2 linked regions of the Lepisosteus oculatus genome follow. The protein of the gene in region 2 binds, or shares a complex with, the protein of the main gene of each other region. Links are inferred from orthologs where the notes say so. Each region holds a gene or a part of one and is shown on either strand. Other genes may lie near its edges.

The links.
Region 1: the proteins of anxa11a (region 2) and tardbpa are in contact, whole or in part, in a cryo-EM structure (PDB 9FOR), measured with the Homo sapiens proteins. The link is inferred for Lepisosteus oculatus from reciprocal best matches to the Homo sapiens genes ANXA11 and TARDBP. Residues at the interface, in NP_001148.1 of Homo sapiens: Gly56, Met57, Ala59, Met61, Ser62, Gly63, Phe65, Asn69, Pro71, Asn72, Leu73; in NP_031401.1 of Homo sapiens: Ala328, Leu330, Ser332, Trp334, Gly335, Met337, Gly338, Met339, Ala341, Ser342, Gln343.

Annotation. Positions count from the first base shown.
Region 1 is NC_090720.1:2,256,154-2,271,732, forward strand, and holds tardbpa (TAR DNA binding protein, like), read right to left. Parts: upstream 7,918-15,579; 5' UTR 7,421-7,917; coding exon 7,180-7,420; intron 6,414-7,179; coding exon 6,250-6,413; intron 5,692-6,249; coding exon 5,551-5,691; intron 4,982-5,550; coding exon 4,811-4,981; intron 4,683-4,810; coding exon 4,170-4,682; 3' UTR 3,799-4,169; downstream 1-3,798. Other genes in the region: c25h1orf127 (uncharacterized protein C1orf127 homolog), read left to right, coding at 9,892-9,929, 10,562-10,641, 10,995-11,096, 11,770-11,894, 12,714-12,857, 13,218-13,256, 13,436-13,573, 13,945-14,029 and 2 more. UniProt on the Homo sapiens protein: RNA-binding protein that is involved in various steps of RNA biogenesis and processing.
Region 2 is NC_090699.1:18,783,973-18,798,914, forward strand, and holds the start of anxa11a (annexin A11a), read right to left. Parts: upstream 5,725-14,942; 5' UTR 5,514-5,724; intron 1,839-5,513; 5' UTR 1,830-1,838; coding exon 1,562-1,829; intron 631-1,561; coding exon 533-630; intron 1-532. UniProt on the Homo sapiens protein: Binds specifically to calcyclin in a calcium-dependent manner. Required for midbody formation and completion of the terminal phase of cytokinesis.

The sequences.
Region 1 (15,579 bases), on a different chromosome or scaffold from region 2:
TTCTGCAAACCCTCATGCACAATTAGTTTTGCAGATATTTAAATTAATGAAACCCTGTATATGGCATGTGCAAAGGTTTGAGCACTGTCAGTCAGTATTGGCAGAGATCAAATCTGAAAATATCCAGAGATTTATAATTTTGGGGACTGTGAAGGCCCATTCCAAAGTCTTAATCTTTCGTTCTTGTAAATTTACAAAGCTGTGGTTCTAGTTGAGGTGTGATTTGTCTGGCTGAACCACTTCCGCTTCAATTTCTTCACTCACTCTGGGACATTAGTTCCAAGGATTTGTTCATAGGCAAATCCATTCTTCCTTCCACACACACAATATTTCCTGTACCACTAGCTACTCCACAACCCCAAATCAACATGCTTAATGGTTGACAAGGTATTATTTTCTTCAAACCCATTTTTCTCCAAATACATCTTATGTGGTTTGGGCAATAAGTTAAATTTTTCTTTCATCAGTTCACAGCACCATGTTCAAAAATGTTTCCGGCCTATGAAGGTTTTGTTTTGACACCATGTTTAGAGATGAGGTCTTAGGAAAAGTTTCCTTCTGACTACTCTCCAATGCAGCTAATTTTTGGGTCAGAAACTCGGCACTGTGGACAAGTACTCTTTCAGACCTTTACTTCAAATGTTCCCTTTAGTTCCCCTTTTTAATGTTTGCGACATTTAAAATTGCAAGATGGAAGATCTTTTCAGTTTTCTCCTACTCTGTAAGAGTGAATTCTTTTTGTCAAAAGTCCTCAGACAGTTGCTTAGAGGAGGCAATGGTTGTTGAAAGTAGGAAAAAAGACAATCACATCGCGAAGGGTCAGAGTAGTTGTTCAACCCTGTTATTCTCCTGTTATTTGATAATGCATTCATCAAATTTTGGGGCCATTAAAAAACAAATAAAAAAAGTAGCAAGAAATCAAATGTAAAGCCGCTCACTTTTGCACATGCCACATTTTTCCAATCTTATGATCAGCAACTGAATAGTAATTTTGCATTATAATCTCAAGAAAATCCAATTTTCTTGTAAAATTGTTTTCCAACCTCAATCTCAAGTTTAACTTTGTACCACATTTGTTCACTTAAGAGATTTGTTCAAACCACTTAACCGGCTGTGCCTTAACGTTTGCACACAACTGTATGTTAACAGAAGGGTTCTATTAACATTCATTTTCATTTCATCATGCTAGTTGTAGAATCAAGAACTGTGAATTATAACTAGCTCTAGACTGAACAGTTGCTAATCATACTAGCTTGACAAATGTTTAAATGATCCCTTATTAAAATCCGTAATGCTAGAAAATCAAGAGAATTAAGCAAACCACTTCTCCCTAACCCACTTTAAAACAATCTCGTGCCTGCAATCATGTTGACTTTTCATCTTGCAAGAAGGCCACGTCTCTTAGAACTGTAATCCCCCTAATTTAAGAAAAAAGGTTTGATTTCATTAAATATCAAGATTTAAAATCACAGTTCAAGAATCTAGCTTTTTCAAAACAAATTCTTTACAAGTTGTGAATTTTTGCCATTTTAACGTTGTTCATTGAAACCACTGCAGAAATTTTAAAAACCTACGATTTTGTGCATAACTTACAAAATCTGGACTTGTCTAAAATGCAAAACTAAAGTGATGTCTTTCCTTTTGAGTGCATTTATATAATTTCAATATATATTTAGTAGTTAATACAAAGCTTATAGTTACCCCACCAAATGTACTGAAGGAAACAAAAAAATGGTAGAAAATGTAACAATTTATTTCACATTTGTGAGGATCAGAAAAATACTAGACAGTGTTTCAAATACATTAGGGCTTTACATTCTATGTAGAAAGCACAGGTTTGTATACCAACCACTTCATAGAGGGCACTACCCTCTGAAGCCTTACTTTAAACTACACCCAGAACAAATACCCCTCTTCATTTCACGAACAATTTAATACCTGTGGATATGTATGAATCCTGGAAATTGTCAAATTCACAAATTTTAGTACCATTTTGGCCATCACTGGAAAAGGTTAACCTGGACACACTTAGAACTCTATCACACCGCTTCAAAATGAAAAAGTCAGACTTTAAAAAAAAAAAGGTTAGCGTTTAATTACAATGAAACAAAACTGTTACATTTATCATCGAGGATCACAGTACTTAACACAAAATGCATCCCCCGTAAAGCAGATAGTTATTTTTCACATTCTGAGGTGTTCAAACCGTTGAAAACTTAAATAAAACAGGACAAAAACCTCTTTTTTCAGAAACCAGTTGCTTTCCATGTAAAGGTGGGGAGGAGATGCAGGAGGATCAGAACTCTTGCACACCAATGTGAAGGGACTTTGTCTTTCTTACCCACATTAAGGTCTTGCAGCAGTACTTACCTACATTTTAAAAAAATGTTCATGGCTATTCATAACCACATCTCTCTTTTAAAAACGGTCCTTGAAATTATTCAAGAGAGATGGGTTCCCATTTTCTTGTAAAGTGAAGACAGCCCCTGTTTTTCAGGTTTGAAGCAATGGCTGCTGTCCCACTGTTATCAAGTTTTGGGACCATACAAAACTCCAATGAGCCTGGGTCTTCAGCCTTCTGAAAAAAAAAGACATCTTCCTTATCCAAGAGTAGACCTGCATCAGCGGTGAAGAATGGGGTAACTCCTTATCCATGGTCCCTAAATACGTGAAATAAGGTTTTTGCATTTGGCTCAATCACAGTAAGTTTAAAAAAAGCCATATTAAAAGACCAATACCTATTCAAATTAATTTTATTTGAGAATTCCCTTCAATGACAAGTCATATAAAATGCATCCGAACACTTAACAAAAGCAAACTTTCTAAAGGAATTCTTACAGACGTTCACCACCCTCCCTTGAGACACACTGAGCTCACTTGCTTATCACGGCCACACAACACAAGCTCACTCAGTGTCCTCATCACAGGCTCCACCAGCATCAGGTCACATGTTCACACTTACAGGTCAATAACAAGGAGAAACAAACAAAAAAAAGCACACACCATACGGCATTCACGTCAGATAATACAGCCAGAAAAGATACAAAGATTCATTTCAGATCACTAAACATTCCACTACATTTAGAAACTACTTTTAACGCTTGTTCATTCAAGGAAAAAAAACATCCCTAGGATCTCATGACAGGTTAATGGGTGTCCTCGTGGTGGTAGAAAAGAAACACTCGTACTTTTCTTGCAACTGCTGCTCCGTTCACACTCGCTCACCAAAGCCACAGGATCGTGCCATCTCTCGCAAAGTCAGTAAGGGCTCTCGTTCCAAAGCACAACCAGTCCTTTCCACACGTGCTTTTTTTTTTCCTCCCCTCTCTCTGCTCGCTCATACTCAGCCTTTCACTCGTGGCACCAACAATCCATCCCACTCAAGTGTTCTTAAAGCGCTCCATAAAAAGCTCGCCCGTTTCCACATCACAAACTTGCGTTACAGCGCAGAGAGGAAAAAAAGACTCCGTTAAATAGTTGTTAAAAATGCAACACCCACCGTCGAACACAGTATATGCAGAGTGAAGCTGCGCTCTTTGATGACAAAGCATTTACACATGGGAAGAAGGGAACTGATACTGAGATCGCTCGAACATTGCTGCCAGTGAAGGGCTTCTTCCAGGGAAATTGGAAAAGAGATGAACTGCAGAGAGATTTCAATGAAGGCTTTTCCGTAAAACTTTAAAAAAGAAAACTGCAAAACAAAACTTAAAACCAGATCCTCCCAATACAAGATAAATGGAAAAACCATAATGTGTGTTTGCTGGGGGTGGGGGATTTCCACAAGGTATGCAATTAAAAAGAATGAAGAATGTCATGCATTTGTTCTCAAAATACCAATATTTACAATTCATGCATAGAGAATCTGGTTTGCCACAAACTGAATTTTACCAGGGGGGGAAAGGGAAAAAAACCTACACTACAAGTAGTGTTGTAGTTCACCATCCTGGCAAACTGGGATTCACTTTCACCTGCTCTGTACATCAATCTTTTGCAGATTTAGCCAAATGTACAAAAACATTCAGGTTTCTTCTTTTACAAAAAGAAAGGCAAAAATAGTATGTCATTTAAATACCCAGGACATATTAAGAAATGGAGCTGGAAAAATTATAGCTTTCAAAATACTTACCATTTTACTCTAGAAATGCGAAACGCTTCAAATCAGTTTCCTACATTCCCCACCCTGACGATTTTGACTCCATACTGGAGCCAAACCCTGAATTGAACCCAGTGCCCGGGCCAGAATTTGAGCCAGTGCCCCACCCTAAACTTGCTGAACTGGAGCCATAGTTGTTGTTTCCAGAGCTGAAGCTCTGATTCTGCTCCCGGGAGACGTTGGTCTGCCCAGTGGGAGTCGTACCTGAGGCCCCCGACTGCCCCTGCTGGCTTGCTAACATGCCCATCATCCCCCAGCTACTCTGCAAAGCAGCCTGAGCAGCAGCCATCATGGCCGGGTTAATACTAAAGGCTCCAAAATTCATGCCACTGCCCATGTTATTGTTGGGGCTGTTGCCCAGCCCGCCCCGACTATTGCCAAACCCTTGGCCCCCGAACCCTCCGTTCCCAAATCTACCCCCCCTCTCCATCATTTGCCTACTATTATTGTGCTTAGGCTCGGCGTTCGAGATGTGCACGCTGACTCCCTTAATAATCAGGTCCTCTCCGCAAAGCGACTGAGCAACCTGCGGGGGGAAAAACAGGAGGTCAGGAAAAGTGAGTGAGCACAGCCAAGGAGCCAGAACCCCCCCCCCCCCCACCCCATGTGCAGAGGCAGGCCAACGGAAGAGCTCTCTCGCAAGAAACAACTCACCTGGTCGTCCGCAAAAGTGACGAACGCAAAAGCCCGGAAAGGTTTGGGGATGAAAACATCCGTGACCTCTCCGTACTGCATGAAGAACTGGCGCAGCTCTTCCGCAGTCATGTCCTCGGTGCAGCGGCCCACAAACACCTTCCTGCTGCGCAGGGGCTCGTCCGGGCTTTGCTGTTTTCCGGGATCAGGCGAGAAGGAAAGGTGTTTTAAAAAGAACGCTCGTAGTAAAACCGTAAGGACACCTGGGGGCCTCCAAACCCATCAGTGGTGTCGGAACTAAAAGCAATAACCAGTAACACAAACTAGTACAGCACAAAGACGGTCATTTTCAATAGCATAGGGTTGCTACCTGTTCCTGTACTTCCAGGAGATCTTAACATAGGTGAGGCTTCGTTACCAACAATCCCCAACCCTTTTAACATTAAAAACCTCTTTAAATAACTTTAGTCATGTGTAAAGCCAGTGAATGCTCAGAGGTCTCACTTACAGCTATGATGACTGATCCTTATCCCTAGGGTAACAATGAAGCAAGTTTAGGCTAGGGACCAATTGAGTCGATCGCTAATATTTTAGCAGCAAGCTCAAAAAAAATAACAAGTCCTAATTAAAGAGCATGGTATCATATTATTAAACGTGTTAATTATGCGATGGTTTCAGATAAGAATACTGCTGAGTGCTACAAGCATGCAGCACTGAAGGGAATTGATATTTCACAACCCATTTTAAAGACCAGGCATTACCTTCGAGTTGGGCAGCTTGCAGTCACACCACCTCCCGTCAATCATGTGCCTCTGAGACATCACCTTCACCTGCGTCTCGTAATCCGTAAATCTTACAAATCCAAACCCCTTGGAATTTCCCGTTTTCACATCTCGTTTAACCTAAAGGGAAACATCAAGTGCTGTGTAAGCATACCGAGCCAAGACACACCGTGACATTGCAGCACCTCTCATCCCAAGCTGGACAAGATTTGCTCCCCTCCCACTAGGATGACTGATTGGACAGTAAATACGACTAAGAGATCCAGTTTATCTTTTTAAAACAATGTTACAAATTAAGCTGACCGTACCGACACCCGAAGAAGGCTCCACAGCTGAAATGTTGCATTTCTTTTCAGCAGGGAATAAACCTTTATCTGTTCATTGACTGTACTTTTCACTGGTACCTTAAGACCAACTTTAAAATGTTATGAATTTCGAGTAGGGAGCTGCGCCAGCATGCGTTGGCAGCCAAGGACCAAGTAAGGGTTTATTCCCTGCAAAAAATTAGAAGAAAAACACAACATTTCCACTGCGGGGATTTCTCCAGGTGCCGGACCTTGATCCTCTAAAATGTTACGTCAAGCAAACGGGGTTCTGCACCAAGAGCCCCATCATGCACGTAGTGGGGGTGTTAGGGAAGGCTGCAGAACAACTGAGCAAGCTTCAGTGGCAATTTACCTGCACCATCAACACTTCCCCGAACGTGCTGAAGTAGTCTTTGAGGTCCTGCTCCGACGTCTTCCAAGGCAGGCCCAGGACAATCAGGTCCGACGTCTTCTGCACTCCCCTCTTGATCTTCACCGCGGAGGAGGCATCAATCTCGTCCATCTTCCTCTTGTTATCTGGGGGGGGGGGGGCAGATTCAACATAAGGAGGGTAGGAATGGCCCGGCCAACGCAAAGACCCAAAGCACAGCCCCTACTAGACCCTGAGATATATTCTGAATGCAACACCTGTGCCAAGCAGACTCACTTTTAAGTGTGACAAACTGCAACTGTCTCCAAATTACTCATTCCAAAAAATAAAAGCAGTATATATGACCTCTGACAAAACTCTTCCATATAATGCATTAAAGAGGACAATTAATCTGTCATGTTTTTTTTTACCTCAGATCGCATTTAACCTCTTTTACTGAAGAATATCAGTAAAAAGGGTAAGCACTCCAAGGGATGGTTTTTAAGAGCCAGGGGCACGTCATTAGCTTTTCAGTTATCAACAGTATCTGTTGGTCTCTGGCTTTAACTACAAGTGGGCTGCAATTAAGGGCTGATCAAGTCAACTAATTTCACATTATCAGAGCGCCGAAGAGCGAGCGGGCTTGTTTAAGACGGTAGGTTTTCTCTCAACTTTTTTTTTAAAAACAAGGGGCATCTTTAAACGGCGCATTTGAAGGGGTGTTATAGTCCCCGTTTTTGCGGTTGTTGCTGCACCGTTTGCAAACGTGGCTCCGATCTCCGCAACTCTCATGCCCCGGGTCTTCTCGCTGCGTGGGCGGGGGGCGAGACGCTTTGTCCCAGCTCCCTTTCCAGGAGGCCACGAGGGCCCGACCCACCCGACCGCTGCAAGTCTGAGCACCGCGCAACGAAGAGCACCGACACCTATCGATACCTTTAGGGTAGTTGACCACGTAGACCAAGTTGCCCCAGCCGGTCTCGGGGGAGTGCAGGATGCCCTCCACCAGGCGGACCCCACGCATGCACTGCGACACGGGGCTCCGGTAGCGCAGGCCGCAGGCTCCCGGAAACTGCGCCGCCACGGTGGAGAGCAGCACCGTGCCGTCGTCCTCCGAGGGGATCTCCATGGGCTCCTCGTTTTCATCCTCGGCCACCCGGATATACAGCTCGGCCATCTTCACGCTTCGTGCGCTCTCGAACTCTTCTCTCTCTACGCGGGACGCCAAAATACTCGGGACCCCTCCGCCGCTTCCTAGCTAAAAGATCCCTCCTTACTGTAGGGAGTCGTGGATTTTTTTTAAAAAAAACAAAACAATAAACAACCAAAATATACTGACCTAGATGAAAAGGAGCGAGATCACCGCTGTAAAGAGTTTAGCGATTCTAACTCTGCTTTAACAAAAACAAAACACAGCACCTGGAGCCGACGGCCGTATTGGGCCCAAACCAACACTCCTTGCAAAATGAATGACAACTTATTTTTCGCGCTCTTCGGTACGCAACGTACAGCAAATACAGCCCACGCCGATCCGATGTGACGGGATGCCCTTGTACAATGCGGTATCGCGACGAATGTTCTGCCTGAAAGTCTACGTTTTCCTTATTTTCCTCCCGAATGGAAAAAACACGCACAACAGTCTCGCTTTCTCGCTCCTTTCTTCCCAAACTTCAAAACAAAATGGCCGCCTTTCTCTCATGGAGGGAATTGCATCATCGTTTTGGGTGGGCTCATTATTTCTACAAATGAAGGAGAATTACAGGGTCGAAAAGCGAACAACTTTCGTTATCGATTATGGGTCTAATTTACTAGTATATTGTACAGCGGCACTCGCAATTAGAAGGTTTAACGTTTTTTAACCGCTGTTTCGCTCTTTTTCACCCCAACCCGTTTTCGTACTTGGTACGTTCCACTTAAAACGGCATGACGTCACAGTATCGCGTCTTAGCTTGGTACGGCATCAGAGGCATGAAAGACCGCAAGGCTGTGTGATGGTACATTGATGTCGGTCAGATTTCGTTGCTCCTGTATTAAGCGGAATTCTTCCTTCATGTACTTACACGTCATGGGCTGTCCTCCAGTGTCAATGATACTGTCAAGTCTATCTTATCTTAATTGGAAGAGGTGTTATTGGGGCCAGCAGGGGGCGCTCACCCTACGGTCCATGTGGGTCCTAATGCCCCAGTATAGTGACGGGGACACTGGACTGTAAACAGGCGCCGTCCTTCGGATGAGATGTAAAACCGAGGTCCTGACTCTCTGTGGTCATTAAAAATCCCAGGGTCTTTCTCGAAAAGAGTAGGGGTGTAACCCCGGCATCCTGGCCAAATGTCCAATTGGCCCTCACCAATCATGGCCTCCTAATAAACCCCCTCTATGAATTGGCTTCATCACTCTGCTCTCCTCCCCACTGATAGCTGATGTGCGGTGAGCGTTCTGGCGCACTATGGCTGCCATCGCATCATCCAGGTGGGGCTGCACATTGGTGGTGGTGGAGGGGGGTCCCCATTACCTGTAAAGCGCTTTGAGTGGAGTGTCCAGAAAAGCGCTATAGAAGTGTAAGCAATTATTATTACTATTATTAGATAAGATTTTTATTGTACCCTGAGGGAATTGTTTTTATGGACACCCAGCACTCCTGTACATTTAAATAGAATGCAAAAAAAAACCCACATTATACATTGCACATTATACTATTCCAAAAAATAAGAAAAACATTGCACATCATTCTATTGCACATGTACAGTATAACTCATAACAACACATCAAAAACCAAACTGCACTCAAGTGGGTTGTCAAAACTGTGTTTATCCTTGACATTTGTGTTGACAGCTTTAATGGATGACTTAAATTTGGGAAGCCTAAAACGTTTGCCAGAAGGAAGAAGTTGATATTCAGAGTTGAGGATGTGGGAAGGATCTGATATAATTAGTTATGGTGAATTTCACTTCTCCTTCATCACGAGCAAGACTTCTCACTTTCTGCTGTATTATATTAAAGCAAGTGGACCTGCCATTGTTGCGGATTTTAACACACACACACCGCGCAATTCGTTCGGAGCACACGAGCGTTTTTGCAAATTGTTTACACTGACTTGTTTAACACGAATTGTGTATCGTGAAACAACTTTAGCTAGCAGCTAAAAAAGCATTTTTGTTTTTAACACACGTTTCTTCATTTGCTTCATTTGAGGAATGCTTAAGTCCTCTGGTGAATTTACACAATGTTTTTTTTCGTAACTGTGCTGTGACACACTGAAAAATAAAACAATCCTTATTGCAAACAGCTCTTAAGGTTCGCACATATTTCTAAAAACCTTTGTAAGAAGACTGGAATTTGATCTAATAATGCGAAAAGCTGGTTAAAGGGGAAGAGTGCTCCAGATTTATTCTCCTTGGCAAAATGACTTGTAATGTGTAACTTCGAGACTGACCACGCAATTTACATCTTAATTGCGGCTGAAGCGGCCTCTCTTCTGATCCCTCCTCATCTTCCTGTTGATTTTCACAGGTCACTCTTCAGTGTCCTGCCTTTCCTTCCTCAGTCCTGGGCGTGGGGTGTGTGTACACAAACGCGACTCACCTGCGGTGCTGATAAATACCCAGGCACTGTAAAGGGGGCCTCACACATCACCTCTCGGGCTTCGCCATGGACCGGATAACGGCGTGTATCGTTATCATGAGCTTGTAAGTATCCGTGCCGTGAGCTGGGGGAAACGCTTCGTTCCCTTGCTGTGAGTTGCAGGGGCTTTATCAGAGGAAACTGTTTTGCCATTTCCTGGACGTTACTGTGAATTGAACAGCGTGGCTCCCCCGTTTTGCTGTGAGATTCAAGGATCTGGCCCTGATGCAAATAAAGCACACGAGTCTTACGATCTGACACTGACGTTACATGCATGTGATGCATAAAAACAAATGCACACACGCCTCTGCCCATTTAAATGCATAGAAGATACATGTAGTTGTATGTTCCTCATACATCTAGTCTGAAATGATTTAATGAAGGTGGGTAGCTGCGTCAGCATGCGTAGGCTGCAAAGGAACAAGTAATAGGTTTATTCCATGCTGAAAAAAAGAAGAGAACACAACGTTTCGGCCGTGGAGCCTTTTTTTCGGCATGGAATAAACCTATTACTTGTTCCTTTGCATGATTTACTGAAGACTTGTGTGATGTCGTAGAGATGTTTAGTACTTCTGCATAAATGATATAATTTACTATATTGTATTTCATTTAAATAACATTGGTGTAACTATATTAAGTGTTATTAGATTTCTTGAAAGAGAATAATGTAGTACGTTATCTTGTGTACTTTCTCCAGCTTCTGGCCAATGTCCACTAGAGGGCGCCCGTTTCAGGTTCTACCGAGAGACGGGTTTGGCGATGCAGCGCAAAGCGCAGGTATGGAGCCTTACTGTTCTGGGTTGTAGCAGCGTGCATCCCATCACGGAAAATCTGCTCTGGTTTAGTTAAAAGTAAAAAATAATAACAATGAACTGGTTTGGTAAGTGCTCAAGGAAGTGTACTTCACAGTGTAAAACGCACCTTTAATCAGCCTGGGAATTCTATTATAACATCTGGACCAGCTGCTGTATGCGTTTTTAATTGCCTCTTACAAGTTGGACATACTGTAAAAAGAAAAAGACGAGGCTGTCTGTCTCTAATAGCTTGTGGGGCTGTGTTTTTTTGTCTGATCCGAGCCGAGGTCTTCTGGCCTCCCAGGAGCTGCTGTCTGAAGTGTGCTGTGTTTTCAGAGGGCGATGTGGAGTGCTTCACAGAGTACATGGATCTGTGGGTGCACAGGAGCAGGGCTGAAGGTTTGAGACTCTGGCTGGCCGGAGCGCTTAGAGTTCCAGGTACAGAAATCTTTCCGTTCCAGAGGGATTCCGGATTTTTTTTTTGTCGGTATCTCCAGAAACCGTTAGAACAAAGCGGCGCCGTGAGACCCAGCAGACAACGGTACACTTACCGGTGTCTTTCTCCAGTGAGAAGTTTGCAGCGCTAAACCGCAGCAAACTCGGATGAAATACGGGTCTAATACTGTGCATTGACTGTAAAACGTACTTAACGCTCCAGTATTGTATGAACTCTCGTGTAAGCTAGGACACCGAACACCAAACATTACAGAAGCCACCCACGGCGCTCGTAAAACAGCTTCACTTTGCATTTCGCGAGCCTCGTCCGGGACGCAAGGTTGAATAAAACGGCTGTAAAGCTCCAGGAAAAAAAAAAACAATCATGTTTTCTTCCGTTGGGTGTCCTTCTCAGTGTCTTTGTTTTCACTGTAATATGAAATGCATTGCAATAATGCATTGCCTAATGTGAACTAAGATGAAAAAAAATGCTATTCGCATTGTAAGATTTCCAATATTTGGCAGTTACTTAAATCATGTGACCCTTTTGGATTTTGCATCTTTTGACTCAAATTACCTCGGGCCTCATAGGAAGAACAATAAGGTTTGGCAGTGTCTTTCCTCTTGTCAAGCCGACGCGACCTTGGTCACCTTTTGTCTTTCCTGTGAAACTCAGTCAGCCTGACGTCGCCGGAGGAGCTGAGCTGGCGGCTGTCCGCCTGCGGGTACGCGCTCCACAGAGACGCAGACCGGCACTACAGTTTCAGAGTGATGTACAGCGGCTGCTCCGTCCGGCTGGAAGTATGTTTCTGCGAATGTAGCGGCGCCTGGATCGAGTCAATTCGGCACCTTCGGCACCCGGATGCCAGTCGGCAGTTTAAAAAACAAAAAACGCCCTTCCAGCTCAAAATCGAGCTAGCGATAGATGGGGAAAATAAGGACACAAGGATGCGCCAATCAAGAGGTCTCCTGTTGAGGTTCATCTCTTATTGATCCAAGGACCTCAGCCAGGCATTTCCCGGGGAGTCCCAGGGACCAGGCTTCAGCAGCAGGGTGTGCTAGCTTTTTTTCCCAGACACCCCCGTTAAAAAGTGCTGCCAGTTCTATGTCCTGAAACACTTCCTGAGAAGTTACACGAGCATTACTGTATGTGCTCGTGTTCCAGTTTCACTGCTTGAAACTCGTGTTTTACTGCAGGAATGTGAACCTTTGTATCAAATCCACCCGCTGCTTTCAGGCAACAGCTGGATGAAGTCCTCGGATCATTTAACACACGAGTCAGACAGGCTGAGTGGCCTTCCCGGCTTCTGCAAAGTTTATGACTTCAGATGGGACCTCAGTATGAAGTTATTGCAGGGACGTGACTTGCTATTGGTCTCCATCAATTTTCTCACCAATTGATGGAGACCAATAGCCAATACAGGGTTGCAGGAGAGCAGTAGTCGAACCCAGCAAGCAGTAAGCAGCAAGATCGAGGCAGGATACACCCTGGTTGGGACACCAGTCCATTGCAGGGCACACACGCACACAGTCCACATACACACAAAAACACACACCAGGGCCAGTTTTCCCAGAAGCCAATTAACCTACCAATATGATTGGGTTTATTTTTTTTTCCAGCACAGCAACTACATCCTGGTACTGAACCTGATGAAAAGACCTGGAAGGTTCGGTGGGAGAAGTAACAGACTTGTCATGAAATGTCCGCTGGTGACAGCGCCACCTGGTGGAGTTCACATTCACTGCGATCCTGACTATGTTCAAGTGAGCCGAGATGTTTTTTTTTTCTTCTGGGACTTGAGCAATGCTGATTACCGAAGCACGACGTCTGCAGCTGTTTGCATAAGGCAGAAGTCATAGCTGCGTCAGAACGGATGGAATCATGTGGTCTTACAGTGGTTCAATGCATCTTGAGCTTCTAATAATAAGGCACATAGTGGGACAATTGCAGCTTTCAAATGAACAGTTTAAAAAACAAAGTAGTTGAATGAGACAAACTGTATTTCATTAAGGACCTTGCGTTTTCAGCCTGTGCAAATGGCTTTATGGTTTATGAAGGGAAATGCTTAAAATTCTTAATGAGTAGAACGAAGTGAATTACGTTTTGTTATATAATTTCCACAGGTAACCAGACCGCTTCACCGGGACAGCTGGAACAATGAGGTAGAGTGTTTTGCACAAAACCAGATTGATGAGTTTTTACATTGAGGGTTTTCTACATGAATATACCTTTTTTAATTAAAAAAGTCGCCGTGTTACTCCCCCTCTCTTTCAAATAACATTATAAAAATGGAAACTATGACAAGAAGTGTACGAGGATAATCTACCTGTGTGTGCTGTAGCTGCGCTGGTCCCTGTCTCTGAGAGGAGAGCTGGTAGCGGCGCTGGAAGACTCCAGCCTGATCCAGTTGAGCGCTGAAACCAGAGGCTCCAACATCACTGTGCAGGGCCAGAGAAAGGAAATAATGGACTCAGTGGAGGTAAGGAACCTCCTTTTTATATTCTTTACCAATAACACGGAATTTACCTGTTCTAAACCGACGCTCAGAGTGGAGACGGGACTAAAGCTGTAGGCGAAGTACAGTTGGGTGTTTCGGGTAGGATCACACTGCCATCTCGTGTGGCCTTGAAGAACTGCAGCGGAAATCTGTTTATTCCAGCTCACGTCTCTTAACTTGTTCAGTATTGCTGTATTGCTGCCGTCCCCTTTGACATTCTGCAGGCTGGGCAGCATGAGAGTTACATTTCCTAATCTGGCGTCGCTGGAGAGCAGAACCAAACAGAACCGGGCCTTTCTAACTTTCTAACCTTATTAGTGGCATAGAAAATGAATTGATACCATATTTTACAGGTGATGGGAAGAGCAATTGACGTCTTGCCTCTCTGGTTAGTCAGTGGGTACTATGCCTACAGCATGGAAGCTAACTGCCCTAACGGTACGTATCACTTAATCATAGTACAAAAAACTTTAATCAATCTAGTATAATACTGCTAAATATTAAATGCACAGCTGAACATGGCCTATACACATTAACACGTTTCCACACATACAGTGCAATTACAGCAGCTTCCTTACAAATATCTGATGTGTTTTACAGTAATTAACACGCCACCCAGATTAGTTCATGAAGTCCAGGAGGAGAAAACTGTAGCAGTGGCTGTTTCCCCACTGGATGTTTAGCAAGGAGAACCACAGGGCTGGAAGTGTGTGAGGGGATGAGTGCAGTAACTTCAGGGCATGAATCTCCCCTCCATCCCATCCTATCCCATCCACTGGGGGGGGGTTATTTAAAGTCAGCAAAGAAGCAGCAGCGCCACGCTTCCTCGGGACTCTGTGCAGTTCAGGTCGAGCCCCAGCCAGGAGCGCTACTCCTCTCTCCGAGAGTCCCCAGTCCTTCATCCCATCCCAGTGTGGAATCTCCTCATCAGCTCGGTCTTGCCTCTCAGCTGTCGTGGCACTGCGGGCTTCCTGCATGCCAGCAGTCCCCCGGGCACTAGGAGTCACTCCGTGCGTGGACAGCCCTGTGATTGTTTCTCATCCTGCAGTGTCCAGCTCCCCAGCAGATGAGACTGTATTGCACATCTCCAAGCGCAGGATGGGCTTAATCAAGAGGGCTGGCTACGACAGGGAGAGCCTGAACCTACTCTCTGTAATCGTAAAACAAACAGACGTTTATTCAGTGTCTGAAAACCACGACTTTCTCCAGCTTACAGTCCCCACAGATCACATTCTCCAGAGGAAGGTGAGTTTGTCTGCTTAGCCAACTAACACCATGTGCAGAACTCAGGATATTTTTTGCCCTTACATTTAGTACACACAGCTTTTTTTGTGTGTGACAGTCTTATCTTTATTTATTATTGTGTTCCATTAATAATAAACCCCATTTCTTTTTCTTGAACATAAATGCCAGGAATAACGTATTGTCCTCTGCTTGGTGATAAAGAAGACAAGTATTTATTCATTCCTATAACTCTTACAGAGTTGCACGAGTTCTGCAAGTGAATCACTTCTGCAGCTATTCTTTAGAGTGGATGTCATTCTGACTTTCAGAGAAATGCCATACAGAGTATACTGGAGTATGGAAAATGTTTTTCCATGTAGTGGTAAGTATTCTTTTTGTATTGTCACATACAGTAGCAACTAAATTAATACAATTTAGTTGCAATTTATCTTATTGAATACAGTGAAGAATAAATAGACCATAGTTTAAGCCTGTACCTTCTGTTAGTTTCACATCTACTGTATAACAACGTCTATCTGAAAAGGATTTCTCACTCTTCAAAGAGTTTATGATTTTTCAATCCTGAAATTACAGTTCATTCAGTACTTGAAAAACCCTTCAAACCATCCAGAATGTTGCATTAAAAGCTGGAATTCTCAGATGAACAATACACATTTTATCAATCTCAAAACCTAGTCAAGTTAAGTTGATTATACAAAAGAGAAGGTGTTTTTATCTCTGCTGATGGATACTTAAACAATGTG
Region 2 (14,942 bases):
TATGTTAAGATAATAACCTGGATGCGTGACTTCAATAGCTGGTGAAATTTGACTCCATATTCTTGTAAAATAGTTCTGCTTTTTGCTTTCCTGTTTCCCTAAGTATGGTGTCATATTAGGTACTGCTGGTTTTGAGTAGTCACTGTTAAATGCAATGCATGGAAAACAAAACTTGGATCCCAGAAAACAAACACCTCCATGGGAACTGATGCAATTCCCCTTATGTTGGATGTGAAATCTGGAAATGTGTTCCTGCTGCCACCAGGATATCTTGGGAAGGTAACATCGGACACACTGGCATAGGTCAAACAGAACCATGCCCAAATTAATAGTTATACCAGTAGTAATCATCCAGGTGGATGCTGCACATTGGTGGTGGTGGAGGGGAGCCCCCATTACCTGTAAAGCGCTTTGAGTGGAGTGTCCAGAAAAGCCCTATATAAGTGTAAGCGATTATTATTATTAATACAGCTTTTTAAAAAGAGAATCTTTTCTCTCACCACCAGCCATGTCGGATCTCTGTTGAACTCACCATTGCTCCGATAGAGCCAGAGGTGAATCCAGGATTGGATAGATTATCGAGTCCGATGGAAGAAAAGCCAGGTGCACTGCCCCAGCCGGACCCGCCGCCTTCAACAGCAAAAAAAAAAACAGACATCTTGTACAAATCCTGATTATTGGTCATATACTGCTGATCTTATACCCAACTAAAAACTGTTTTCTTTAGAAACCCAATGGACCATTTTTCAAGGCAAAAATAAAATCAGAGAAGAACCCTGATGCCGCCAGTGGAAATCAGGAGGGACTGCGCATATCCACAGTCTGTCTCCATACACAAAGATTAGCGAAAATTGAGAAAGACCCATGGAGCAAATCTATACTGACCAGCAAGAGGGCAACATAGGTCATTTGTAACTCTTACATTCTTATAATGAAAATACACTATTTCCACAAAGAACATTTCTACACTACAAACGTTCGCTTAAAATTGAGTAGAATTTTAGCAGCCCTAGCAGCAGAAGAATTTAGCTCTTTGACATCTATATACAAAATATAATAGTACATTTTATAAGTATTTTTATGGAGATCTGTAAAATTGTGTAATGCACTGCGGTGTAATTTCAAAGGAAGACAGTAGTATGAAAACAGTGTGGCTGTCTAAAATATACAGTGCTGTAATAATGAACAACACAGCTCTTCTGTCCAGTAAAACAGGTTATAAAATTCATTCAATGGGAACTTTTTCTTTTTGGGGTCCTTTTCAGATCAGCTGCTGCCAAAGCAACATGCACAGACGTTAACTGTCCTGTCTCGATGTGCCCGTCTCGAAGTTTGCCAGAGACCTGTGGTTTAAACATGATATAATTTCACACTAGTGTTTTTTGGCCATTATGAAAACAGGCTCATGATATTTTCTAAGTAGTGTAACAAATCTGTTGTAGATAAAAAGCCAGGCACAGGTTAGCGCTGGCGCATCTGGAGGAAGAGACACTTTAACCACCATGATGGTGGTTGAGCTTGTATAACTTGCAGAATACGAATAAACTCCTGTGGGACTAACCGGCAGGAGGCACAGATGGGTAGCCACCAGAAGCCGGGGGGTATCCACCAGGTTGTGGAGGGTAGCCTCCAGGCTGAGGAGGGTAGCCGCCGGGCTGAGGGGGGTATCCACCGGGCTGGGGTGGATAGCCGCCGGGTTGAGGGGGGTATCCACCAGGCTGGGGTGGGTATCCGCCGGGCTGAGGGGGGTATCCACCAGGCTGGGGGGGGTATCCGCCGGGCTGGGGGGGGTAGCCGCCACCTTGGGAAGGATATCCTGGATAACTCATCGTTTAGCTCTGGAATGGAAAATATTATTCCACATGTTAGGAGAGATTCCTCTCGAAACTTTCCAAACGCATAAACCTTTCCTTGTTTTGATCTGGGGAAAAAGACCAGTGATTTCTTAATGAATAATTTCATCACAGCAGAGCTTGAGCTTTTTTTTATCTTAGTGTTCCGGCAGAAGACGAAGAAAAAAGGCTCCCAAGGGTGAGAGGACTACAAGCAACGGCAGAATGTGAGCATCCAAAGTTCTGGACAATGTTAGCTCAGCTTTTACTGGAATTAATTCCAACTAGAAAAACAGAAAATAGAAACAGTAACTAGGCTGGAAAGCGACGAGGCCAACAGCTTGTGGATGTTAACATAAATCCAAACAAAATAGTTTTAGTTACTGTATAAAGCAAATATACTGTTGAGCACAAAAACTGTTTTTTTTAATGTAGTGGAAAAGGTAAAATAATAGATGCACAGTGACAGTGGATGCTTAATAGTCTCATGTTGCTTTAAACCAGCTTTCAGGCCCAAGTGAGAGATGGTGAAGAATAGATCAACAAACACAGGACCTTGACATAAAATAAAACTAAATTCTGACCCTGTGCGCAATTCAGCATCGCTGACCAGTGTTTTGGGTAAACATGCTGTCATTGTTATCAACTTGCATGAACAACACGCCTAAAAATAACACTGCATTATTCACTGTACGCTTTGTACCAGATATGGAAGACCTTTAAAGAGGTATGAACACAAATAAACAAATGATGAAGGAATCCTAAACCAAGGCATGAAAAATAAATTTTGGTCATAATCATAATTTTTGTCAGGTTTGATAATATGCTCTTCCTTTTTTTTAAATTTAGTTCAAGTTTATTGTCATTATACTCATACACAGGTATAAAGTCTAACAAAATGCTATTTAACTAGCACTCAGACGGTAAGTAGTACAAAAAAAACAACCATACAATTGTATAAGAATAAGACAGAGACAACAGGCAATGTGCAAAACAACAACAGGTAACAGGTAGTATACAAAACAACATCAGTTGTGCAAAATCATACATCACCAGAATGAAATAAAGGATACAAAATTATGGGGAGTGAACTTCTTGACATGTGAGGTAGAGGTAGATTTCAATGTGTGTTATAGTTCTCATAAAGAGAGAAGGCACTGTAAGGGTTCAGATCGTAGGTGAGAGAGGCTGGGTGTTTAATAGTGCGGAGGTAAAAACTGTCTCTGAGTCTGGTCCGGGCCTGAATGCTCCAGTATCGTTTTCCAGATTGTAGAGGGTCAAACAGTCTGTAGCTGGGGTGTGTGGGGTCTTTGATGATACTAAAAGCTTTCCTCAACCACCGTCTGTCATAAAAGTCCTGGATGGATGGGAGAGCAACCCCAGTGATGGACTGGGTAGTTTTCACCACCCGCTGTAGGGCTTTGCGGTCAGCAATACTGCAGTTACCATATCACACTGTGATGCACCCTGTCAGTGTGCTTTCTGTAGTGCATCTAGTAATCTAGTGAGGATCTGGGGAGATATCTTAGCCTTCTTCAACAGTCTTAGGAAGTACAGGCTCTTTTAATTAGTTGTCCTTAGTTTTACATATCTGCAGAACATTTAAATATATAATGCAAACTAGATTTGAGAAATCCACTTCAATACAACATCACACACAGAAAACGATGCCAAAGAGGAAATTCAACACTAGCTAATTTGCGCATGGTACTATGCAAATTAGCCTACATTGCCACTATATATTCAATGACACAGAAACCTTAGCTTCTGTAACAGACAGCTTATTTAAATTATTTTTTATTTCAAACTCAGTTCTATAAAATTAGGTTATCTTCAGAAATAAACTGTGCAACTGAAAACACTAATAGGAAGGGCAGAATTCTCGCCAAGGTCAATTTTAGTATTAGCCGGCTAACCAGGCCCAGATAGCCCTGTCAGTCTCATGCCTAAACTTAGCCCTGCTGAGTAGACAAGGCCACTATCTTTCCAATTCACTTAACGGGGCATGGCTTATTTCCCTGCTTGTGTCACAGACACATCCCAGAGAGCCTCAAAAATCACAAGCCTCTCTTTCACTCTGGCATGAAGCACACAAATTCAATAAGATTATAATGTCCATTGTATTTGATCAATGCCAGAGAAGTGGACCCGATTCCCAATGTGGGCAAATTGCCTGTCAAATTCAAACACTATAAAGTGGGAGTTTACCAATAATAAAGGATTTCTAAATCAGTGGGGAAATATTTACATTTGTATTTCTATTTAAATTTTTAAGTAAATAGCCCACATTGTAAAGACAAAATATACATGACGGCAATTTTATTTTTGCAAATTGAGCTACAATGAACAAAGAGTTATTATCTGAAAAGACTGACAATTCACTACAAGCATTAGACTTGACAAGAGTAATGTCTAGACAGCCTAGTTTTCAATGTAAATCCAATCAATTTCATTGGTTACAGTGAACCTGCTAAGACTGGGATCCACACTTTGAACCCCCTGTCACATCAAATGCATTAGCAGCAGTCATGGAGGAATGGATGCTCAGACACACCCTGAACTTAAAAACTTTTCTTCATTGAAAAGTAGATCTAATACAAGACCACCTATTTCGGGAAGGCAGCTGTGTAAGAGTTAAGCAACCTTGAAATGCATGCACTTCCTTCCTCATCAATGTTACTCTTAAATCTCTAAGAAGCGAACACTGGTTACAAACGGAAGAGGAAGGTGTTTGGTATAATGTACTCTTTCAAGTGTACATTTTAGGAACTCCCGAGGAGTAGTTGATGTTTAACGTCCCTCACAGGAAAAAGTACACTAATTTAAATATTCAAGCGTGCCGTCAGCGACACCTGACCATGAATCAATGAACTCCGTTTGCGTGGGTGGGTGTGTTGTGTGGCCCTAGGGCTTTCTTCACCTTTAAACTCGACGGAAGACTAGATTTCTTAAATTGGGTACATTACAGGTAGCCAACATTTACAAAATAGCTTTTTAAAAGATTTATAACGTAGCATAGTAATACTAAATAACTCCTTCTGGACAGCAATGCAGTTAAAGTTTTTAATGACAATTCCTTTATAAATGAAAGCAGTTTATTTACGGCCGTACTAAAAGTAAACATCCTCTAAACTACAGTAAACCAAAATTGTCGCAAGCACAACTACTGCAACAGCGCAGAGAAATCGATGTCCCAGATAGCTGCAAACAGCCTCAGTGGTCATTTTCTGTTAAAATCCTTACAAAATGGCAGCCTGGAGGAGCGTAAAATTCAGTACGATCGTGTCGTGCCTATTCTGCAGCCGTAAACTACACCTATATTTAAAAACTAAAGACGTAAATACAAACTGTAAACAAGCTCAAACGGCTTCTTGTGGTTACAAAACCTTACAAAGCAATCCATCTCTTATTTGTTTTTTTCGTTACGGATTACCGCTCTATTTTTAACCATGCATTAAAGTTGCATTTAGCAAGTAAAACATTACATGAGAAAATGGGAGTCTTTTTCTTGTTGAATTGTTGTAAAGTAACAGTGGGACCCTATCGCTCCGTACTCCTCTAAGAAACCCACAGTTCACCTTAATTAAATTTTAAATCTCTGCATGTTGCAAACCCTAACAGAACACTACTGTCAGGTCATAAAAATAAAGAAATAAAACTTTTATCAACGATAACACTAACCTGCTTGCCCGTGCTTCAGGTCTTTTCGTCCTTAAATGAGAACAGATCAAGGAAGTACTTTCGGTATGTGTTTAGCTCAAGGTGGGTGGGTCTCTCTCTCAGAGTTTCCACTGCGCCGAAGACGCCCACGGCGCTACACAAACACAATCGGGTAAGAGTTGAGCCACGGCACTCACTAGCAAACTGCCATCGTGACGTGTCCAGGTGTGGGTTAGGAATATGGTGGTGCAATAATAATGATACAGTGTGATATGTGAATGTAGAAAATGAGAAGTGCTTATTTGTCAACGATGAACATGTCGAACTCGAACTTTTTTTTTGGAAAACACAACTGTGCCCTCCCTCTCCCCATGGGTCATAGTACAGCATTAGTCCAATTTAAAATCACGTGTCCGGCCTCCTGGTGCATTGCGATGGAGATTGAAGGTAGAAATCTGTCGCGTCCTTTGACTTTAAGACAACAAGAAACAGGTTTTCAGCTGTGCATTTTGTTTCTTAAATTAGATTTTGTTGCGTTATTGCTAACACTTTCCTTGTAATTGACAAAATAGTTATTTCTAGGTACAATATAAATATGACTTTAAATTCCTAATTTAATGATTATACGTGTATCTTACAATCCACACACACCTTCTCGGTTACTGCTTTTATCTGCAGCGTCGCGGTGAGCCGTGGCCTAATCAGACAGGGTGCAAGGCGGAGCTACACTCTGGGTGGGAGGCCAGTGTACTCACACGTCAAGAGAGGGGTAACATAGAGACGAGGTTTAACCCGGAAAGCGTGTCTTTGGCCTGTTGGAGGAAACTGAAATCTGGGGAGAGTGTGCAAACGTCACACGGAATAAAATGAGGGCTCAGGAAAATGTGAAGGGACATTAATGTGATAGTGTTTTGTGTGGATTTTGGGAGGGAGCAAGCCCTTCTCCCCAGTTACTAAAGAAAATACCTTCAAAATACACCAGAAAGCATCCCCTTGTCCACTCTAATTTATACACGCATATCATAATAACCCACTACGATATACAAGTCATACAAGTCTTCAATAATGTGACATAAATTAAGAGATAGGATATAATCTTCATTCATTGTTATATGCATTGTGTTTTTTTGGACTGCTGTTTACAAAAAAAAAACTGTGATTTTCAGAAAATAATGTTGTGAGAATTCTACTTTATACAAGGGTCAGAAAAAATCTGAGTATAGTTGGATTAAAAAATATATAGCCCAATCTTCTAATACTTTGAAAAAACAGGTTGACGTACTGTAGATATCACGTCCTGCTAGTCTCTGAATTTGCTCTCGAGCCAATATTTTCCAAAGCCGATCTTTTACGTGCCCCACCTTTTAAAGCAAAACTAGGTTTGCTTTAAATAGAGCTCTCCAATCCTGTTTTTTGAAAGCCATGTCAGAGACGCACCCCGACGACCAGCCCCTAATTGCGTAACGTTATGGAAAATACTGACAAAGAGAGGTGGGCCATATCGGGGCTAATAAAAAGAGCTGTATTTGCACGGTATGTTAATGATAAACGTGCTTCAGATGTCTTCTTTTTCATGTTCAATATGGAGTCTCAATAGTGTTTTAATATTAAAATGTCAGGCAGGTACTTGAAATATAATACGTTTTAAAGCCGCAGACATCTTTCAGAACATGATCTAAAATCACAACCCTGTACGATTAAAACTTTTGCGTGTGGTGAAGGTTCATAACCACTTTTTAAGCGTTGAGTTGTTTGGCATTCATTTTATATTCTGTTAAACTAAAGTATTTTGTATAAGAAAACAACATCGTGTAGAGGTATTTGGTGAGGACTACAGACCGATTAACCGACTGGAGGGTCATGGGTTCAAACTATGGGCGGGGCATTGTTATTTACTTGAGCAGGGAACTTCACTCGGATCACTCCATTGCGACATAAATGGGTCTGGGGTCATTATCAGGAATTGCAATTGACATTTGTGGTACAATAATAATATTTATTTATGTATTATTTTAAATCTTTAAATTATCTATCACAATTGTCCTGATTTGATGATGTGTACTGAATCGAGTCCCAAAAGCTTTCGAGGTGAAGCGTGTCATACTCGAAACGCAGGGACTTGTCATGCGCAGAATTGGCACCTTGTAAAAATGGCCCTCCGTCTGCTGTACAGACACAGACAGGAACCCCACCGCACTGGAGACAGGGTTTATTAGGGTCAGTGTTTCCTTCAAACTCCCAAAGTGGTGGTGAGACAAATTTCCTAACTGAGATAATTCAAGTCACCAATGAGATAAGACCAGTAGTCTATATACAAAATATTGAAAGTTTAGCACAAAAGCTTTTTCATGCATATATTGTACATTTCTTAAAATATTAATTAACTTAGAACGTAGAAAATAGCCTTCCTTTAACCAAAGAACGTTTAAGAACAAATTCTCATTTACAGTAAAATCCTCAAAAAGATGATTTTGGAATAATTCAGAAGAATCACACATCTGTTGTTTAATATGAAGGTAATCCCAGCATTTTCTAAACACAATTACAGACAGGTTTTAGTCAGCTTTGTCTGAATATATGTAAAATAATTACTAATGGAGTCAGGCATCCCATTTACCAATACATTTAGTGCTGTATTACTTTTACCACAGACTTTGAACAGCGTAAATGTATTTTGCTTCCGGTGGTGATGGCACAGGGCAAGTTCTGTGCAGGAAGGATTAAAAGCATCTGATAAGAATTATGAATTTCTAAAAGCAAAGCACTGTTTCTGCACTGAGGGCTTTTGACTGTAGTCTGAGATAACTGGTTATGAATGCTCTACATTTCTTTATACTTTTTTCAAAGGATTTCCTCTAAAAACAAATGGTAGAGAAAAAAGAATGAAACTGAAGTTTTAAGTCAGAGACAGATGTAGTTCTGTAGTTCCAAGTAATTTTACCTCTTACAACAACAGTAGATATGATTATTTTAGTCTGTCTCAGCGGAGCTCTGCTCCCAGCGTGGAATTACACCTTGTGAGCAGGCTAGGATTAATGAATAATAAATACTAATAAAACGAAGCTACAAACTGTACACAAATAGCACTGTGGGTCTGGAATTGAATAATATTGAATAACATAATATTAATTATTAAATTAAATAATATTTTTCTTACAATAAAAATAAATAACGAAAGTATTGTATTCATTGATCAATGAAGGCCTGACCAGGGTATATGAACTTCAGTCAACCTTGTTTTCAGCAGTCACAGAAAAAGTGTGGTCGGAGGGAATCTTAAAAAATAAATTCCAGCATTACTTCACTCTTCAAAAGGTTTTATTCTTGCCAAAGAGAATTAACTGGAAATTGAACTGGGAAATATCAAAAGAAACATATATTTCCCACACTGCAAATGTTTTTGTTATGGATACAAACTCTTAAATGTGCATCAGTAATGAAAGCCAGATTGTACGTACGTTGCTTTTGCAACATTTCAATCATGAATCTTAAGCCTTTTTTTGAGTAAGAAGGCTGAATTCCAACCATTATTAAATATGGTAAGAGTGAGAACAACTCAAAGTGCCCTTAAACACAGGACGCAAGCCGCGGCCACGCCATGGATGGGACTCTAGTCTAGTCTAGTCTAGTCTAGTCTAGTCTAGTCTAGACTCTAGACTCTAGATGGGACTCTAGTCTGTCAGAGGATGGAAGACTTGACCACAATAAAAGATGAAAGAAACACACACAATTCAGAAACATCAGTAAGCATGTTTTGGAACTGAGGGAGAAAACCAGAGCACCTGGCAAAGTTCATACTTACAGGTAGAACATGCAAAGTCCATATAGTAGGAGTTAAGACCATAGTAGGTGAACCCAGAGTCCATGACTGTGAGGAAGCAGCCCTTACCGCCATGCATCCAAAGACAGTATTGCAAAAAAGTGATAGTTACATGGATTTCTCATCTTTAAATACCAATAAAACAACAATTTTATTCTTCCCCTTGTCATGGTTCTGGAACCAACATATTAAACTTTTATCAGGTTTAGTAACAATAAAATATTCAGTTAATGTAATGATATTTTAAATTGTGAATGTTAATTCTGGGTTATTTCATCCTTTATCATTCTACGTTAATCACAAATAATGCATAAGTAACGTTAGTGGATTGTTCTAAGAAGTGACACTGCAAAATGTTGAATTTTTTTGTAGGCACTCTTTTAAAAATCAAGCTCTTCTTCTGCATTGTTTCCACCTGTTTTTTTTCCTTAATCAAGATGTTAGTCACCTTTGTTGTGTGTCGAAACACACAAGGTGGAATTCTTAAAATCAGAGAGGAAGTCTCCAGTTCTTGAAAATCTGTGAGTCTTCTAATTATTTTTAGTCATCAAAAACTATCAGCATGCCACTTTTCCATCAGAAAATTCTGACCAATAATTTAACAAACCAAATATGGGAAACATTAAATTAATCATTCACACGTTTAAATGGGCGGGTATTTTCTTCATATTAAAACTGTACCCATCTGTATGGTAAGTCAACAATATACAATGGTAAGGGAAGTACTGGCCCAAAATATTCTGACTGGGTTTGATTTAAAAAAACGGGCTAATAGTTTAAGAAACAACCCCAGATTTGCAGAAGGCAGGTATTTAGATGGGGAAAATGCTTAAAGTACCATAATAAAATTCAAAGTGGTTAGTACTGTATTTATTTAAAAGAGAAAAATCCTTCCAAGGAATCGGTCTCTGGATGTGTGCTGGAGCATCATAGGAAAGCAGGTCTGATTGCGTTCTAGGGATCCTGGCCCTCACTGGAGCCAATGTGCACCAGGGGTACGCTTGCTATGGGAGTTCAGAGAGATGTGCTCTGTGCTCTGTGAAGGCCCACTTTAGGCAAGCAATGTGTGTACAATATGTATGGCTCACTGAGCATGTAGGTTACCAAGACTTGTGAGGAAAAACTTTTTTTAGGGGGGAAAAGGGCTTTTGGTCTAAATGTTCACAGTACATGTATTGAAAGAAGAGCTGGAACAATTCAGTGCATTTGAAAGAATGTAGGAACCCTCACGACATGTTTAACTAACATCAACAGTTTTGCTTCCCAGACAATAAAGTTGTTGTTACAATCTCTCCAATCCTGCAGTTTTGTGTTTCAGGCTTTTGGTGACAAGAATTAGATAGCTCGAATGATCCCTTGCTGCAATGAGATCTACTGGTTTTCAAGACCTCTGTTGATTTATTCTCATAACATTTTATTTAACCACCTTGGAACAGAATTTGGAATTCAATTAGTGTCAGGTAGTTTACAAATCTGAAACAACATTAAAAATCTGTACAACGTTTGCTCTTTAAGGGAGGTACTGGCTCTTTGCTCTTTAAGGGAGGAATTTAATGTAATTGCTCTTTAAATTCCTACTGTGTTCATCCATTCTGGCTGATATTCACAGAAAAGTGTCTGCATACAAGGCTGAAAAATTGAACTCTAAAGATTAGACAGGAGAGTAAGCACATGACTACAATGGGAACCTTCTCCCAGATTTCCCAATGTTGTTACAGCTGTCTTATTAATGTCCATAACAATAACACCTTCTCTGCTTCATTGAATGTCATTGCACATGCAAAAGTAAGGAACACTGTAACCATAAAACTGTATTAAATTATGTTCTCTGACAGGAATTTCATGTTTGTACTACGAAAACGGAAATCGGTCAGTATCCTCCTGTGCTACCGTATACAAAGTAATTGCAGTACTTCAAGTTTCCACTAGATGGAACTCTCTTTGTCCGTTTGTTTTTGTAGGTCTGAAGCTGTAGCCTGAATATTACATCAATAATTCCTCGATGAGATTGATTTCCAACGATTAAGAACAAATCTCGGTAAAGTAAAGCTGACGTTGGAGATTTTGATAGCTACATAAGCACAACTAAGAAATATATAATAAAAAACATTGTCAGCCTTCAAAGACAACATAACAAAGCTATTTGTAAAATACGTTTTTCTTATTAGAAGGCTATGCTAAGAGAAAATAAAGCACTGCCTCCTGCCTAAAAACACATTTTGAAGGGTACCTTCAAAATATTACAATGATAGAAAGAAGTCAGCCTGCACAGATTGATCAAAATGCTCCATATGCACCTTCTTAGACTATGGCATGCTGTACATGTAAAAGACTCACATTTGTTAAACATAAACTTCTCTTTATACTGCTAGTGAAAGCATGTGTTTTGCTCACTCTTGAGGAGTGCGCTGCCTGACAATGACAATGACGTCACTCTGATGGTGTCTGGTTTCAGGCCACAGTCCTGCGGGTGACAAGAACAGTGTGATTGGATGGCACTGAGCCTTAACAGACAGGTTAACCTATAAAACTTCAAACCCTGAAACCCTCACACACCATCCTAACTACACAGTCAAGGAAAGCAAGCTGTGCACATTTACACCTCCTCACCTTCCCTTTACAATTTAATTGCAGAACCTGGACTAAGGAGGCTTTACTTCATTTAGCTGCAAAATCAGCTTTTCTCCCTGCATGCATCTAACTTACTACTTTTGATAATGTGGGGGTTAGAAAGCAGAGATCATTTAGTATCTTGTTTTTTAATAAACATCTTTTTAATCAGGTAAGCACACCCCCTTTATATTTATGCAACAGTGTGTTCTTAAAGTGTCTTCCTGGGAAAAGTTAAGGTTGCTGCTGGAAGAGGTGTTAGTGGGGCCAGCAGGGGTTGCTCACCCTGCGGTCTGTGTGGGTCCTACTGCCCTACTGCCTGTGACGGGGACACTATACTGTAAAAAGGCACCGTCCTTTGGATGAGACGTAAAACTGAGGTCCTGAATCTCTGTGGTCATTAAAAATCCCAGGGTATTCCTCGAAAAAAGTGTAGGGGTGTTACCCCAGCATCCTGGCCAAATTTCCCCCTAGCTTTTCCCAATCATGGCCTCCTAATAATCCCCATCTCTAAACTGGCTTCATCACTCTGCTCTCCTCCCCAATGAGAGCTGGTGTGTGATGAGCAGACTGGCGCATCATCCAGGTGGGGCTGCACACTGGTGGAGGAGGAGAGTCCCCATTACCTGTAAAGCACTTTGAGTGGAGTGTCAAGAAAAGCCCTATATAATTGTGAGCAATTTTTAATATTATTAATAGCATTTGATTCACATGCAGAAACATGATGAAATTTGATTTTTTTTTTAAGGGGGAGATTGTTAGGGTGCTGCACAAGTCCTTTGTTCAATCACTTTGTCTTTGTGGATGAATACTTAGCTGTGCATGCATACAGTATGTAGTGCAGAGGCTGTGGGTAGCGCAGAGGGCTTGTTTGAACAGGAATGTGCAGAAAGACCACAGCTCCCACAGGCATGCAGCTGACAGCTTTTCTGCAACAGGATTTTGCAACTTCAGTGTTTCAGTCATGAGTGACGATGGGAGACATGGTAAAACCCAGACCCCTGCAGAAATGGACCTTTTCAAACTCACATACGGACTGCATGAAAGAGTGGTTATTTCCTGGAAAATGCATAGTTTTGAGAGGCCAGCAGTAGTGCAGAGGGTCAGACTTAACCGCTGAAATGCACTAGATGAATGAAGGATGTGGTGGAATTACTGAGCTCGACATTCTGCAATGGGAGCAACACCCAGTCCTGCACCAGTGTGTCCTCTCCTTCTTGAATAAAAAGACCAGACATCTAGAATAAAAGCGCTGTTGCCAAGGTAAACCTTGTATGTGGATTGTCTGCCCTTTTCAATTTTGGATTGCTCCTATTATTCCAAAGGGTTTCACCGATCACCCCATGGCACAATCCAACTGTTCTTTTCTACCTGCGCTTGTTGTAAAGTCTTCCCCTTTGCTACTTATGTTGTGCTTTAACACACAATAAAATCCAAACAAAGTTAATGTTTGCAACGTCAAAATGACAAATCTACTGTTTGCCAGTGCGATTTAATCTATTGATGCAACCGTTCAATCCATGATTCAAAAGGATGAAATTGCCTAACACATCTTCCTTAAGTTCTGAGCATTGAGAGAATGCATTGCACCCTACCTTAAATTTCTGATGCCAGCTGCAACAAGACCGTTTTAAGTGACACCACTGGGTGAAGTATCACATGCAAACAGTCCACAGGGTCAGCAGTTTGCTTGGAACTCCGTTCAGAGAAGCAGTGAACTCACTCATCCCATTGGGCAGAACCAGGAAACAATATGATCAAGCACAATCTTAATATTATAGCAAGGAAAAGAGCCTTGTGGGACATTAACCACTATGATTCAGCTGTGTGCTCAGGTTTGCCTCCTGCTTCGCAATTCTCAGCCTTTGTTTGTCTTTTTGTGCTACAGTAGTGGTAGCTGTGCTGGTTCTTTGTCCACGGCATGCTATTGGACAATCATAACATCATAATCAGCATGCATAATAAATAAGCAGAAGTGCCTGAAATGGCCAGGTTAAATATCAAATATTAATATCAAATATAATTCCCACCACTTTATTTCAGTCCTGTTTCTCTTCTCTCTGTCCCATTGTCCTCAATGTTATAAATGAATCCTTGAGCACTGGCATTGTACCAGCAGTCCTCAAAACTGGTGCCATTACTCTCGTGCCAAAAAAGCCCAACATGGCTCTCGACGATCTTAACAATTTTCGCTCCATCTCCAACTTACACTTTCTTGCTAAAATTCTAGAACGTGCTGTCACACTTCAGTTACATAACCACCTCATGATAAACAACCTTTTCGAACCCCTCCAATCTGGCTTTTGTCAACTTCACAGCACAGAAACTGCCATGGTCAGAGTCACTAACAATCTTCTAATAGCTTCTGATTCTGGTTCTCTTTCTATGCTCATCCTTCTTGATCTCAGTGCTGCTTTTGACACTGTTGATCTTAACATCTTACTTTCTCGTCTTGAGACTGTGTTTGGAGTTTCTGACACTGCTCTCAAATGGTTCAAGTCTTACCTCACTGATCACTGTCACTTTGTCTCTCTTAATGGGTACAGGTCTTAAATTGGTCTTGTTAAGTCTGGGGTTCATCAGGGCTCAATACTGGGCCCCTTGCTCTTCAGCATTTACATGTTTCCAATTGGTCAGCTTTTAAGATCACATGGCCTCAGCTTTCATTTCTATGCTGATGATACTCAAATATACATCCATACCAAACCTGACACTGATGTGGCTGTCTCTATTCTATCTAATTGCATCTCTGACATAAAAACTTGGATGACTCAAAATTTCCTTAATCTTAACTGTGACAAGACTGAAGTCATGCTTATTGGCACCCCCCATCAACTTCGTAAAGCCAATCCTGTAACCCTATCTGTAGATGGTTCTGTACTTGAGCTTCAGTCTAAATTGAAAAACCTTGGGGTGATATTCAATTCTGGCTTAACATTTGACCCACATGTGCAGCATATTGTCAAAACATCTTTTTTTCACCTCAGAAATATCTCTAGACTACGCCCTATGCTATCACT